Rhinolophus ferrumequinum: one gene and its partner. The protein of the gene in region 1 binds, or shares a complex with, the protein of each later gene. Links are inferred from orthologs where the notes say so. Each region holds a gene or a part of one and is shown in the gene's direction. Other genes may lie near its edges.

Region 1 (7,921 bases):
AATATCGAGGAAAAGACTGAAAAAGAAGAGATATGAAGGGTGGGGGTAGGAGAATAGGGGACAAGTCTGACCAGATATTAAAGCATGTAACACAGATTCTTTAATTAAATCTGTGGTACTGGTACATTAATAGATAGGCAGACCAGTGAAATAAATAGGTTAGAATGTCTGGAAATAGACTCAAGTACAATGGAAATTTGATATTTGATCAAGAAGGACTTTTTAAATAAATGATGTTGGGACAACTGGATAGCCATTTTAAAAAAAAAAAGGATAAAATTGGACCCATTCCTCATACTAAAAACAAGAAGCCTTCTTTCCAGGTTTGTTTTTCATATTGGAATTCGTATAGCAAATGTGACAATATTTACAGTAGTCCCCCCTTATCTTCAGTTTCACTTTCCGCAGTTTCCAACTGCAGTCCAAAACTATTACATGGGAAAATTTCACGTCACTTCATCTCATCACGTAGGCATCTGCTTCTTGTGTGGCAAGGTCACAAGAAGGAGCAGGGTGAATATGGTACATACGGTAAGATATTCTGGGAGAGGACACATTCACGTTACTTTTACTCTGGTATATTGTTATGATCGTTCTATTTTATTACTTTGTTAATCTCTTACTGTGCCTGATTTATAAATTAAACTTTATCGTAGATATGAAGGCATAGGAAAAAACATAGAATATATAGGGTTTGGTACTATCCACATTTTCAAGCAACCACTGGGGGTCTTGGAACGTATCCCCTCCGTGGATAGCGAGGGGCTACTGGATGTGTTTTGTAGGGTTGAGCATGAAGAGGGATGCATATATGGAACGGAGAAAGCAAGGAAGAGTCCTGGGGAGTAGGATGTGAACTACAGGCATGAACTCGTGGTTTCTAGTATATTTCTAATATATATATACCTGGCACAATCTGAACATCTAAATAAATAAATATATGCACACATAGACATAATATAATAAAAACAGTAATGGATTAAATGCATTGAATGAAATCAAGAGTTCAGGAATCCCTACTGAGAATGCTGATAAATATGAAAGGAATAATGGATTTAGACTATCATACTGAAAATTGATTCAGCAAAGAATATTCAATGGATGCTAAATCTGGGGGCATGGAGAGTTTCATGAACAGCAGGGTATTTAAGTTTATTTCAAAGTATCTCCTCACAAAATACTAATTAAAAAAGGAGAAATGGTAGCTATGTATTGGAGAAATGGACATCAACTTAACCAAGTCATTAAAATTCACAGCACCAATTAGGGACAGACATCAGAGGCCTCTGGATGTGATACTCTGAGATGGTCCCAATACTTGTTTCTATTCCTGCCAAAAATGAATAATCTCAGGCTAATCATGGGGATACATCAGAATCACCCAAATTGACAATACTTATAAAACAGTTGGCCTCCACTTTTCAAAATGTCAACATAATGGAAGACAAAGGAAGGGCTGAAGAACTGCCCCAGATTCAAGGAGACGAAGGAGACATGGCATCAAATGCAGTCGATGGCCCTGGAGCGGGTCCTATTACTGAATATGAAAATGCCACAAAGGACATTACTGGGGCAATCGACAAAACTGGAATGTGACTGTAGCTCAGGTAATGTAACAAAATTAAATTTCTGGGATTTGATAATTCGATACTGCTTACATAAGAGAATATTCTCATTCTCGGGACTACCTAATCACTTCAAATGATTCAGAATAAGACAATGCGTGGAGGGGCATGCAGATATAAATAGAGAGAGAGAGAAGGGAATTGTAAAACATACGTGAAAAGTGTTTAAAAATTAGTGAATCTGGGTAAAGGGTGATAGTTCTTTGGAACTATCATTGCAACATTATTACCTTGCTTGGAATTATTTAAAAATAAAAATTTTAAATTAAAAGCTGAAATAAATAAGTGATGACCAGCAGCACAAAAGGAAAATAAGGAAAGGCTATATAACCAGACAGAGAAGAGTCAAGAACAGCTGTGTGCACGCGGTGTGCATGTGTGTGCGCGTGTGCTGCTGGGGGCGTTGTGTTTCCTGCCTGTGGGGAGTTCCAGGAAGGGCTGTTCTCTTGCCTCGGCATTTAGTCCAGTCACCAGAGGCCTTCCTATCAGATCTTTCCCAACCTTTCTCTACAGACGTGAGTGATAAGCTGAAATCCAGGGCAAACCGGAAGTCAGGTAGCCTGACGCTGTTCTGGTTCCCACACTGGCAGGAAGACCTTAATGGCCATGGGTCTGCATTTTCTCCTCTGTAACGTCCAAATCGGGGTTCTGGGTGCATTCTGCTCTAAAATTATACGACAAATACCATTCCTTAGCCCTTCCTACCAGGTATCAAGCTCTTTCCAGGCACAACCTCATTGCATCCTCACAACAGTCCTTACCACTCAGGCTTGGCAGCCCCATTCTGCAGATCAGGAAACAGAGCCAAAGGGAGGTTAAGGAGCTGCTCCTGGTCGCACAGCTGGCGAAAGAGCTCAAGCTACGGTGGTTGGCACTGAGTTTGAGGTTCTGGGAGCAGGGCAGGACTCGTGTTCTCGCTGAAGGAAGAGACTTTGTGAGCCACACTTCCTGGGGCCAGGGCCCACGGCCTTGGGAACGATGTTTTCTATCAGCTTCCTGCTTCCTAGCTGCTCTGAGATTTGCATCGGCCAGAGGCTCAGTTCTGGCCGTTTTACAGAGGGGGAAGCAAGCTCAGAGGCTGGATTACATGCCCAAGGTCTGGCAGCTAGGAATTTGGAGGACTCGGGTTTCCAGCCCAGAGGTGTCTGACGTACACACTCTTTCCAGTACATTCTGCTGCCTTCTTTATAAAGATCCATTTCTGAATGGCAGCAGTTTTAAGAGCGTTCCAGATGCTCAAATGCACCTCAATGACTTTTACATCCCTTCTGAAGCCCCCGTGACCACGGCCGTGCCTCACAGCATTCACACGCCTGCTTCCTCGCAGACATTTGGCAAAGGTTCCATACCCCAACCTGCAGGAAGCAGTCCTGCCTCCTCTGTCTGAGGTTCTGCCTCTCGGCTGCAAGGCACAGCGGACGACAGGCCAAGGGGCTCTTGTGCTGTCTGAGCGGAGAAGTCCAGGCCAGCTTTGCTGTCTACACTGCCACCTCTTAAGGAAGGGCTTCTCCATAGAGCAGGCACTGCCCCAAAGGAACATTCTGGAAACTGGTTGGGGCACTTCTGATGTTCACAAACCTTTGGAGGGCGCTACTGGGATTCAGTGAAGACGGCCAGAGATTCCAGACATACTGGAATGTTCAGGACTGTCCACCACAGTAAAGTGGCCCAGGTCCCACATGATGGAACTATCCCACACCAAGCTCACACGGGTGAAAACCCCATTCATAGGTGTAGTGCGGGGGATCCTGCCGACTTCGCCGTGTGTCATGCAGGGGACTCTGCTCTCTGGACCAGTTGTCATGCAGGGCGGCCTGCGGGGTCTCTGGTCCCGCTCCCCACATAAGAACGCAGGACATGGTGAGGCCGAAAAGGAACACCCACGGAGCCATAGGTAGGGGAGTCATATTACTATATTCTCGCTGGCGGCTGGATTGGAGACACAGGGACCAGGAGCCACACAATTCTCAACCCTCACTGCGCCACTTGCAGGCTCAGCCCCCATCTTCTTGCTAGGCCCCACTTGCTGCTAGCGTAGCCACGCAGTTATATTAGTGGCCAATGGCTCACTGGTTACAGCTGGCGGCCAACTAGCCACAGCTGATGGCCATTTGATCACAGTCGACGGCCATTTACTACCTGAGCCAGCACCTTTCTACGTGAGGCCGAGAGCCTGGAAACTGCTTTTTGGGGCTCTGTCCCCACAATAGGTTATCCGACGGGTGTTTTATTTCATATGAAAACACCGTTTCCTCCCAAGGTTTTAATTCCCACTGAATTTCCTGTGAAGACAACCATGTAAATCAGAGGAAGATTTATATTTGCTTTGCTTCCGTTTTCTTTTTGTTTTTAACTTTCCCAAACATGATTCGCCATTGCAGACAATCACATGGCTGGTAGTAATCCTGGTGATAGCCTGTGCAGCGCTGAGGGTCTCCGACTGGCCCCGTGTGCGGCGGCGTCCGCTCAGACTTCCAGTGCAGTTATGCCAGAGCGTCTACATGTTAAAAGAAACACTATTTCCTTTTAATTTACTTTCACTTCCCCTCCATATTGTGGCTCAAGCAGTATTTTGCTTTTTTAAAAATGTCGTGGGTATGTTATACTAACTATACTTTTCACTGCAGGATAGTGAGGGGCACATAAAATATTTGTGTTATCAAAAGGGGTGTCTAATAGGTCTGAGATTTTTGTCTTAAAGGGTCTCCAGTACTCTTGACTTCAGGTCCTTGAGGATTCCAGTCTCATGAGTCTGGTAAAGCAGTGGGTTGACCTTGAAATGACTTTGTATTGCTAATAGTGATTTACATGTCCTTTTCTCCCACTGGACTGAAAGTTCCTTTGGGGGGGTGGGGTTTCAGGGAAATAGTTCCTGTCATCTCTGCCCCGCCCCCACGCAGTGCCCAGCCCTGAGGTGGGGACTCAGGAGGCCTGGTGGGAGCCCCCTTCCAGCGCTCAGTGCCCGAAGCAACTCCATCTCCCTGGAAGCTGGAGTTGAGAAGCAGGAGTTCCCCTGGAGAAGTTTCCGTCCCATTCAGTGTTGGAGGAGCAGCTGGGGAAGATGGGAAGCCTCTCTGCCTTTGCTTTTCCAGAAACGCCACCATCTCCCAGCAGGATGTTAATCAGTAACGGTCCCACAGGACCATCCTTTGGAATAGCAAATATTTGCTGCAGGCATTTGGCTGCAAACCCTCGCCTTCTGGTTTTCCTTGAATGAAGGACCTTCCCTGGCACCTGGGGGCCACTCACCGGTAAGAAGCAGCCATTTAAAGGGAGGCCTTCGCAATGTCTAACGGCGAGGGCTGGGGAGACACATCCTTGTCCTCTCTGGATGGGTTCCAAGGTGAGGGGGAGGGAGCCTGGGCAGCACCGATCCCCCACTCCTAGCTTGGGGAGGGCAGAAGGGGGGCACAAAGCATGTTGTGGACACAGGGGCCTTCCGCTGCAGGGAGGAGGTGAGACGATGAGGCTTTTAAGGCTTGAGAGTTCATGTCCACAACACTCACGTGGAAGCCACACTCAAGTCCCTGACTTTCCTCCAGGGACCCTCCTGCTCAGGTGAGCGAGCTCCCCACTTTCCGGGCTGGGTGGGGGTGCTGCCCAGGTACATTCAGGGCTGTGGAGTGTTGAGTGGTTGATTTCCTACCACTCAGCTTCTATTTAGGATGATGCACCCATGGTGTGCTTGATGGCACCCTAGTGCTCGAGGGCTGCCCCTGCATTCAGATCCTGTACCATTCAGTTGATGAACGACGCTAGGGGGGGATACGTAGGACTGTCCATGTATTCCTGGGCTGCCACCCCAGACGGAGCTACACGGTAAGACTTAGCAACCGGAAGGGGTGACATCTGTCTGCTGCGCGGGAAGTGTTTCCTGACAGCTGTCACAGAGAGAAGTGAGCTGCATTCAGGAGTACCCTGCTGTGGAGGTGATTTATTAATTTACAAAGCAGGGCTAACTACTGTATGCAGGAAGACCTCGGAGGTGCTGTGCGTACTGGGGTTCCAGACCACCGCAAGAGAGTGAATATTGTGACCGAGAGTCACGTGAATTGTATAGTTTCCCAGTGCATTTATAAAAGTTACGTTTACAGTATACTGCAGTCTGTTAAGTGTGCACTAACTAGTATTATGTCTAAAAAAACAATATACATAATGTAATTAAAAAATACTTTATTACCCAAGAAATACTAACCATCATCTGAACCGTTAGTGAGGCTTAATCTTTGTGCCAGTGGAGGGTCTGGCCTCCACGGTGATGAGAAGGCAGTATCTGCGAAGCGTGGCAAAGCAGAGCGCAAGAAAATGAGGTCTGCCTGTATCATGAAGGCATGAGCCTGGGGTACGTTTGGGCAATGTCGGAGGTCCTTACCCAGCAGTCCCAATGTTGGCGTGAGCTACTGAACAAGGCTGGCCATTTAAAATTGATCAGGATTCTGTAAACACAGACATTTACGAAACACAGCAGAAGTGTTTCCTGAGTCGGGCAGTGGCTTCAGGCTGTGGGATGAGTGAGGTCCTGAATTATGTGGCCCTGTTCAGCATAAGGAGCAGTGCACTGAGTCCTGGGGCCCGGTGTCACTTTGTACCAGGCACAGACGAGGACACAGCCCCCTGCATCAGAAATAGGCCTGGGGACTTCATCCTGTCACCACCTTTTGCTACAGGTGGCCTGATTCAGAATGAGGGTCTCTGCTGATGGGAACGCCCGTGAGCTCTGCAGCCTCCCCTGCTCTGTGCCCTGGGCTCAGTGGTCCCGCCCCACCCAGGCCGTCCTGGGGCAATGAGCCTAGAGAGAGTGTGTGTGCATCTGGGTGACCAGTCAGCCTCTGGGTCACAGGCCTGGTGCTATCAGCTGAACATCAGGAACTGAGTGTGGAGACTGCGGAGGGACACAGCCCAGCCCTCAGGCGTTTATTCAGATGGAAACTGTGCGGGTGCTCGTGTTTTCCAGGCTCTGTGCCCAAGGATGCCAGGGAGCCCGGAGAGATGGGTAGTGGTGAGGAGGGCGGGATTTGAAGGCCCACTGCCGGTACTGGAAGGTTGGCTCCACCATGTAACCTGGGGCGGTGAGAGCGAGGACACACTCCACAGGTCACTGTGAGGATTAGATGAGTTTAACCCAGGCCTCTGCTGGACAAGCTGGCTCGTCATCATCTCTATCCTAGGGAGCTCCGGGGTAGTGAAGGAAGGGAGACCTGCAAGGAGGTGTAAGGGGCCCCAGGGCTGGGTGGAGTGGTGGAGCAGAGGGGTAGGGGAGAGACTTCTGACCACCCAAGCAGGCAAATGCAGCACTTTCCCTTTTCCTGGTCCTGATCACCACCGAGACCCTCTAAATCCCCAGCCAAACATGCCCCAGACACAGGTCCCCGAAACCCAGCTCGATGGGCTGCTATAGGGCCCAGCAATCAAGGGCAATGAATGAAACAGATCGATAAAAGGTCTGTGAAGACCCCCTGACCCAGGCCCTGCTCTGACCCACACCCAGTCAGGGCTGCAGGCCAGAGCATGTCCTGTCCGGGAGGAAGTGGAACGCATGGAAAAGTTGGGGGAGGCCAGCTGCCCAAGGGCTGGCAGGGGATGGGAGGTGGAGGAGGTTTTGCTCTGTGGAAGAATCTCCTCATCACGTGAACAAATAGCACCCCCACTTGCTCCAGGTCTCCCTGAGGGAACTTGGCTGCATGAGCCAAGCCCCAGCCCCCCACAAGAAGGAAGCGGGGTCACTGGAGGGTTGTATCATGACACAGGCAGGAGTTACTGTATTAGGCATTAAAAATAATCTCTGCTTTCTTTTCTCCCAAGGCTCGCTGCTGAAGAAAAGTGCTCCATTGGCCTCCACAGCTGAGCAAATGAAGGCAGTGCTGAGCCTCCTGCTCCCCTGCCTCCTGGCCGACGTGTGGCTGGTGCCTGGTTTGGCCCCTGGTCCCTGGTCACCAGAGGCCCAGGCAGAGCCAGAGACTCTGCAGCCCCCCACTGCCCAGAACGAGACCACCAAGGGAGTGCAGCCTGCTGAGGGGAGGGACGAGACCTGGCTGACGGCCAGCGGGCAGCAGCTCTCTGAGGAGTCCTCCAACTTGGGGTTCAGCCTGCTTCGAAAGATCTCCATGAGACACGAAGGCAACGTGGTCTTCTCCCCGCTGGGCCTGTCCTCTGCCATGGCAGTCCTGACGCTGGGGGCCAAAGGGCAGATGAAAGCCCAGCTGGAGAGCGGGCTCCGCCCCCAGGCCCAGAACCAGACCTGGCCCTGGCTCCTGCCAGCCCTCTTTCGGCAGCTGAGAGAGCACCTCTCTGGCAAC
Region 2 (7,465 bases), on another chromosome or scaffold:
GTGCTGGCTACGACTCCAAGCCCGAGGACGCCTGTCAGGGGGACAGTGGGGGCCCCCATGTCACCCAGTTCAAGGACACCTATTTTGTCACCGGCATTGTCAGCTGGGGTGAAGGATGTGCACAGAAAGGGAAGTACGGAGTCTACACCAAGGTCACCAACTTCCTCAAGTGGATCGATAGGTCCATGAAAGCCAAGGCCAAGGCCCAGGGTGGGTGAGGGGTCCCGAAGCCTCCCCCCATTAAAGTGATTGTCTGAACAGTTGCCATTCTGAACCGGCTGAATCCTGGAGTAGGTGTCCTATCTGCAGTGGTTAATGTCAGTTCCTTATCCTGATTTTGTTCTTGTTCTGTTATAGTGGGACATGAAATTTTCATTTGGAACTGTAGATCCTGCCTTTGCTCCTTGCCAGGTTGGGAAATTGCTTCAGGAAATGTTATACTTTGTAGGACAGGGGTCTAAACGCCCCAAGATGACTGCTGTGCTCAAAACCATGACAGGGCTATTTCCATTCATAGTATGTTTTTCTGTTTCTGACTGAGCTAAACTGACTTCTTGGCCAGTCATACTCAGCACACTTGAGAATAAATGATCAAGGTTCTGGGAGTACAGAGAGAAGACGCCGCAGAGGTCGGGGCCAGCCCATAACTAGGAGGCCTCACCCTGGGGTCGGGGTGGGGGTTCCCCACGTGTGCCGGTGTAGGCTCCCCAGGCCCCTCATTTACCATCTGGGACTGAGAGAAAGGTGAAATGTGTCTGTCAGGAGCCTCCTGGGAAGGGAAGGCCGTGAGAGCTTCTCGTGGGCAAGGACATTTTAACATTGACTTAACCACTGGTTCTTCTTTCTGGCTTCACGCTAGAATCACCTGGGGCACTTTTAAAGTGTGCCCAGGCCCCGGCCCACCCTGGCACAGTCTCCTGAGCAGCTTACATGCCCACCAGTCCCCAGACCAGGGGACTCTGGAGTCCTTCATCCAGGCCACAGCCCAGAGCACTTAAACTGGAGTCCATGGGGTGGGCATATGCCCCTGAAGTTTCTACAGCTCCTCAGGTGGCCTCCAAGTGTGTGATGTGTGCTGGCAGGGGCTGCAGGAGGGATCCCCTGTCCTCAACTGGGTCATGTCTAAATGCCAGCTCCTTCGCTGTCACTGTCCACACTGGCTCCGGAACCTGCACTTAAGTGGTCATGAAAACAAAATATGCTTTTAGAAAATGGAAAAGGTCACCTCAGACCAGACCTGCCAGTGTATGTTCCAAATGTCCCTGTACAGTTTGCGTAACTTTGCTAAGCAAAGTCTCAAAGTCCCACTACAAAAACTCCCCAAAATGTCAGCAGCTTTTTTTTTTGTAAACAGGAGATATTGCAAGGTTAGAGTGTTTTGTAAACAAGAGACATTGCAAAGGTAGAAAAATCAATGTGGGCAAGTATAATTTCCCAGAAACAGTCTGAGGTGAGCGGGAAAAGCCGAGGGTGATGATTCTCCTCTTGCTGCCTTGACTCCTAAAAGTGAGCCACTGCCGAGTGGGCACCAGAGGCCCTTCCTGGGGAAAAGGCCTCAGCCAGCAGGAGACCATCCTGTTGTCAGGTTGAGGGTTTTCTATGCAGCTGAGTGGTCTATGTCCAGAGGCAAACCGTAAAGTTGGGTTCTTATTTCTGGAGATCAAAGGTTGTTTGGGGTCCAGAGAGAACTCGGGAAGATTCACAAATAAAACACACCTTCCCTGTTGCTATTTGATCTCTCACTGTTGGCCACTATTATTGGTGATTGAGTTCATGTATCAGAGAGGAAGGGAAACTGAGGTAGAACAGAGGATGACGCTCCATCGCTTCCATGGGGCTTCTTATCTCCCTCAGCCAGAAGCAGAATTCAATTCAGTGAGGTTCTAGAGGAAATAAGGTAAAGAGATGCAGTTCGGTGCCGTAGGGAGGGCCCTGGCCTGGGCCTCACAGATGAGGTAATCCAGGTCTGCTCATTCCTGTGTGCCCGGGAACAACTTACCTCCCTCGTGGAGTACCACTGTCTTCATGGCAAAATGGAGCTAATGAAGCCACCTCAACTACCTGTCAACCCTCAACATGGTGCCAGGCTTGTGCGTGAAGGGACATTCCCTTATTTGGTATCAAGAGAACTTCCCTCAGGGGCTGCTTGGTGTGGAAGGTGGGGACTTGAGGGCATAAAGATCAGCAGGAAGCCAAGGGTGGGGAATCAAAGAAGGGGAGAAAGGAAGGGTTTGACATTTTTCTCCTGAGCGTGAGGGAGAGGCTACGATACTACCATAAAAACCATCTCCTCCCCAGACACTGCCACCACCACTACACGCACGCACGCACGCATGCTCAGTTCCTGAGGGCAGAAGAATGAGGTGACAGCCTGGGAGCACAGTGACCCCATAACATGGAGTGGGTTCTGGATGGTGTTATGAGGTTTGAAAGGGCAAAGAGGTCCCGCCTCGCGTGAGATAGGAGGCAAAGGAGAGTGCCATCTGGCTACATGGGGGCCGACCCAGCACTGCTGCTTCTAAACCACAGTGGTAGTGGGTTGGCAAGAACACAGGTGACCCTGCACATGCTTCTGGGGTGCTGGCTCACTGGGGGGTCTGTGTGGTCCTGAGGTCCTGCTTACAGGCGTGGGGCACAAGGGCTGAGGCCTTTTAGCAGGATGAGCAATGGGACCACGGGGGCTGCTTTCTAAACTGGAACGGGACAGCTTAAATTTCTATTTTAGCAGGTCGCCTACTGCTGCTACTGCCACCACAGGAGTCACTGATTGAGGCAAGCCATCAACCAACACCTAAATCCTGGTGGAAAAGTCCTTGAGAAACAAGCTATTCATAGTCTCAGGGCATGGCCCCAGAAGTGACTTTTCAGTTACAAACAGGACAGGATAGCTTTATAATGGGGAGATCTGCTGGTCACATTATTCAAGTGACCAGGTACGAGTTCACCAACAACGAGACCACAGACGTGTGCCCTGACACAGGGCACTGGGAAGGACGCGCATCACCGATGCAGGGTTCCCCCGCAGCCTAACGTGAGAGGTCAATCGGGCAAATCCAGCTGAGGAAGGCCTGGGCGCTCCAAAAATGTCAGTGTCAAAAACTCCAAAACGCCCAGGAAACTACATTAAATGAGACTTTGAAGGAAACAAACAGGATGCAGTGCGAGAGAAGGACGGAGGCAGGGGGTTTCCACCAGATGTTCCTTAACAGAAGGGAATCCCCTCATCTATGGAGGTGTAAGGGAGAGAAGGAAAGAACAGAGGGACAGAGAGAGACAGCAGAGACACACAGAGAGACAGAGAAAGACAGAGGCAGAGAGGCAGATGCAAAGAGAGCATTCCCGGGGGTGGGGGGCAATGCGCTGTGCTGATCCACCCCGTGAGTGTGTAACCGAGAATTAGTATTAGAGTCGAGTATGGGGTGTGAGTTTGCTGTCCTGTCACACAACGCTCAGAGTATTTATCATCTCGTAATTCTCAGTTTAAAGACACCCTTGGTTCTGACAAAATGTCCCCTAGGTCCACTCCTCCAGGTGGCACTTAGCACCGCAGGAAACCTGGCTGTGCAGGTCTCACCAAGAGGTGGGTGAGGCCCCGTGCTGTGGTCTGCTTTCTAGCCTTTTACAGAAAAATTGGCTGACCCCTGGCCCACCCCTTCTAAGGTCAGGTTCACTCTCCCATCTCGAGTCCTCTACTGCCCTCCTACGGATGCCCTCCTGCCACACCAGCCTCCGTGCTGCGCCCTCCCTCAGGGCTCCGTCACTCTCTGTGCCTTGGAGGGTCTCCCCGTTAGCGCACTGTGTTCAGGTTTCTCTCCCAAAGGGAGGCTCTCTGGCCTGGACCCCTTTATCCACTCCCCTTTTCTGGACATCGAAATTTGACATTTCTCCCTCCCTAATCCTCCCTCTCCCACTCCCAGGCTCTCTCTACCTCCCTGCCTCCCTGTATCCCAATCCCTCCTGTGTGCCTCCCACCCATCTAGAATGTAAGCTCCAGGCCACTGTCTTGCTCACTGCTGTATCCCCAGGCCCAGAACACCTGGCCAGGGGAAGCCCACCTGAGCTTTGTTACTCGGGGCTACATGCATCTCTTAGATCTCTCAGTCCATCACCTTATTTCCCTGGACAGGACCTCTTGACTTCACTCCAGAAATCTACCCAGCTGTGTCTCCTTAAATACCTCACCAAAGCCCTCTTTGCCTTAGCTTTTCATTTCTCTGCCTTTTCTTCCCTCTTTGCTTTAAACAGAAAAATACAGAACCGAAGCGTATGTTTATTGAATTTGTTCAATAAAACTCCATGCGAAATGTACTCCCAACAGGGAGCACTTCTTTTCTCATTTCCGGCTTCTGTCTCCGGCGTGGCTACGTGTTTTAGAGCTGCTGGTCATTTGAAGCAGCCCCCCCCCTGTGTTGTGAGCACGGCCCAGGGCGGACTTTGGCCTCTGTGCTGCCAGACCTGTCCCTCAGCAGCCCGGAGGGAATGGCAGGCTGTGTCCAGCTGCTCCTGATCCTCCTGGTCTTCCAGAGCGCCGAGCCCTCAGGTAGGCATCTGCTTCCGGACCACGTCCCTTTTCACAGTGTGGGTTGGGCCGAGTGGGTGTTTCCTAGGGCAGGCGAGGCCCTGAGGGACCAGCATGGACTTAACTCAGCCCCCTAAAGAGTCCCTCCTGGTCTCTTTATCATTCGTGACGAATATGTTGGCAATGATGGTGGGGTCTCCCAAAAGCAGGAAAAATTAGATGTGTGAGAAGTTGAGTAAGTGGCTCAGGCTGAGGGGCCCAGGACTGGGCAGGCGGACAGACTGACCTTGGTGGTGAGGGTGGGGGCGGGGGGCCACATCCCGCAGCTGCTTCTCTAGGGGAGACAGAAGCTGCACCGCATCACCTCCGCAACCCTGCACCACCAACTATAAAGCTGAGAATCAAACGGCCTGGTGCCCTGTGGCCCAGGGGTCCCCAGACCCCATGGCGACTGCACTTTTCCCTAAGACGGACCTGGCAAGGAGGCTCCTTGACTCTGCTCCAACGCATGGCAGCTGGAAGACTGGGGAGAATCTGTGCCTTTGTGTCCCTGTGACAGTCAGCTCAGGAAGTAAGAGCCCACCCATTACTCTATGGGAGAAAAGGCTCCAACAGCCATTTCCGCAAGTCAACTCGTTTGACTTTCTCCTTTTGAGGGAATTATGAGCCCTGCCACCATTTTAAAATGTCTTCATTTCATATTATCAAGACATTAAATATTATACGTGGAGGCACTTGGTCTCTAGACCTCGGAAGCCTCATTGTGGGTCCATCTGTCACTGTCGCCCTTAACATTCCTTCCCATTCTGTCATGTCCTCCCCTGCTCTGCTCTCCCAGCCTTGTAAATGCAGCTTCATTTCCCCAGCAGCCTCAGCCAGGTAAGGAGTCAGTCAGCACCCTCACCCTTCAGCAGCCTCCCGGCCCCTTCTGCCAAATGCATTGGCCACTGTCAACCTCTCTCAGAGCCCTGGAAACAGGGTGGGTCCGAGGTGAGACTGCTGTGAGCTCCAAACACACTGGATTGCGAAGATTTAGCACAAAATAAGAATGTAAACTTGAATTCATAGTTTTTAACAGTTGTATTCACCATTATATGGTGAAATAATATTTTGGATCTATTGGGTTAAATAAGTATATTATTAAAATTATTTTCACCTCCTGGTTTTGCTTTTTAAATATGGTGCTGAGACACTTCGCTGACACCCGGGGCTTTCATCCATTCCCCTTGGGCAACACAGCCCAGGGCAGCCAGGTCTCCAACGGGCCCACAGCAGCTTGCCCACCCTTACCAACTGCACAGTCTACACAGCAAATAGCGTGACTGGGAAACACTAAGCCGGTCATATTCCTCCGCCAGTTAAAACACTTAGAATAAAATCCAAAACTCTTCACGTGTTGTGCTCATTACAGTTCAGTTTGTCTGTGAGTAGGAGAGACCCACAAGTAACATTATACAGTTTCCAATACTGTATATGGCCTTATACAACATGAAACAATCACAGTAGCTGAAACATGAGGATTTGTGAAATTTCGGTTCTAGAAGAGCTGTGGATCAGATACCCAGAAGAAAAACGCTCCTGATAAAAACTGAAAGTAGACTAAATGTTTTATATCGTTTTAAATATATGCATCACTGGGCTGGCACAAAGGGAAGAAATCAACGGAAGCCAAAGAATAAAATAAAAGAAAGGTGAGCATGAACTAAACGGTCACCCTCAGGTTTCTGCTGGACCCTGGAATCTCACAGTCCCAGGAGACTCCACATCATCCCAGCAGACAGGGCTCAGCCCTCCACACAGAGGAACAAGAAACAAATTCACCAACTGGATATTGGCACTGGGTACAGAAAGAAAAACATCTCTCAAGAATCAGTCGCTACAGTTTGGCCCAGTGGTCTGGAAACCCCAGTAATCTGGTGTCACATCCGCCTGTATGGGAAGTACCCACCTTAAGAAAGGGAGGTGCAGATCCTCTCTGGAGAAATCCACTTTCATTCTGGGCCCCAGATAATTCCAACCCCTAACGTTCTGAAGAAAACGGGCCATTCATGGTAAAAGAAAAACAACCCCAAACACACAAAGAAACAAGACAACCGTGAACCGAAGGGAAAAGAATAGAATCAGACCTTAATGTTCAGACACAGAACACAAAATAAAAGTTCAACCCGTCTTAAGAAACATGTGATAAAAATATGAGAAGGAAATGAGAGGCATTAAAATGCTCAAACACATGTGAAAAAGAACCAAATTTTTAGAACTTCTGAAATGGAAAATATATTAACTCAAATTTTTGAATCAGTTAAATTCATAAAAAGTGGGAGAAGAGAAAGTTCTCTTTACAACAGAATGCCAATTAGTAATGTGGAAGAAATGAGAGTTATAAAATCAGTATTTTGCAATTATAATGGTAATAACTGATTCAGGAAAAACAACCAAGGATGCTGAAACCATTCCGTTAAAAACTATTGGGTAACAGGACACTCAGTCTCAAAGTATCTCTCTTGCAGTGGAGAAATCTGTGGGTACAATCTGTACAGTGTCCTCCAAACTTCATGTTCACCCAGAATCTCAGAATATGGCCTTATTTGGAAATAGGGTCATTGCAGATGTAATCAGTTAAGAAGAAACCATCCTCAATTAGGATGGGCCCTAAATCCAATGACTGGTGTCCTTATAAGGAGGCTCACCATTCAGTCCTCCTTCATATGCAGAATGACGCTCAGAGCTCCAACCCCACCTATGTCTCAGGCAGCAGGATGGAGGGAGCGACAAAGAAATGGCCACACCAGTTGTCTTTCAAGAAGGTTTCCAGGCAGCTGGAAATTGGAGCCTCTTGTTCTATGCCAGAGGATGATGACTGAGGACAGCCCCTCTCAAGCCCTCCTTCCACCCCCTTTCATCTCTATGGTCCAGAGCTATGATGCTGTTCCCTGCCTTCCTCTTGCA

What was found. The genes of interacting proteins can lie anywhere in the genome.
Region 2: the proteins of SERPINA10 (region 1) and PROZ are in contact, whole or in part, in a crystal structure (PDB 3H5C), measured with the Homo sapiens proteins. The link is inferred for Rhinolophus ferrumequinum from reciprocal best matches to the Homo sapiens genes SERPINA10 and PROZ. Residues at the interface, in NP_001094077.1 of Homo sapiens: Arg88, Lys89, Ser91, Met92, His94, Asp95, His257, Asp259, Lys260, Tyr261, Asn282, Phe283, Lys305, Met306, Asp308, His309, Leu310, Ala311, Leu312, Asp314, Tyr315, Leu316; in NP_003882.1 of Homo sapiens: Cys129, Pro131, Cys141, Leu142, Pro143, Ser151, His250, Met251, Arg252, Asp254, Ala257, Glu259, Asn260, Glu284, Lys285, Asp286, Phe287, His290, Leu291, Thr336, Thr337, Arg338, Arg390, Ser392, Leu393, Trp394, Gln397.

The regions. Positions count from the first base shown.
Region 1 is NC_046289.1:8,842,560-8,850,480, forward strand, and holds the start of SERPINA10 (protein Z-dependent protease inhibitor), read left to right. Parts: upstream 1-4,886; 5' UTR 4,887-4,910; coding exon 4,911-4,968; intron 4,969-5,076; exon of another isoform or gene 5,077-5,183; intron 5,184-7,427; coding exon 7,428-7,921. UniProt on the Homo sapiens protein: Inhibits activity of the coagulation protease factor Xa in the presence of PROZ, calcium and phospholipids. Also inhibits factor XIa in the absence of cofactors.
Region 2 is NC_046287.1:55,685,138-55,692,602, forward strand, and holds the start of PROZ (vitamin K-dependent protein Z), read left to right. Parts: upstream 1-4,401; 5' UTR 4,402-4,479; coding exon 4,480-4,540; intron 4,541-7,465. Other genes in the region: F10 (coagulation factor X), read left to right, coding at 1-218. UniProt on the Homo sapiens protein: Appears to assist hemostasis by binding thrombin and promoting its association with phospholipid vesicles. Inhibits activity of the coagulation protease factor Xa in the presence of SERPINA10, calcium and phospholipids.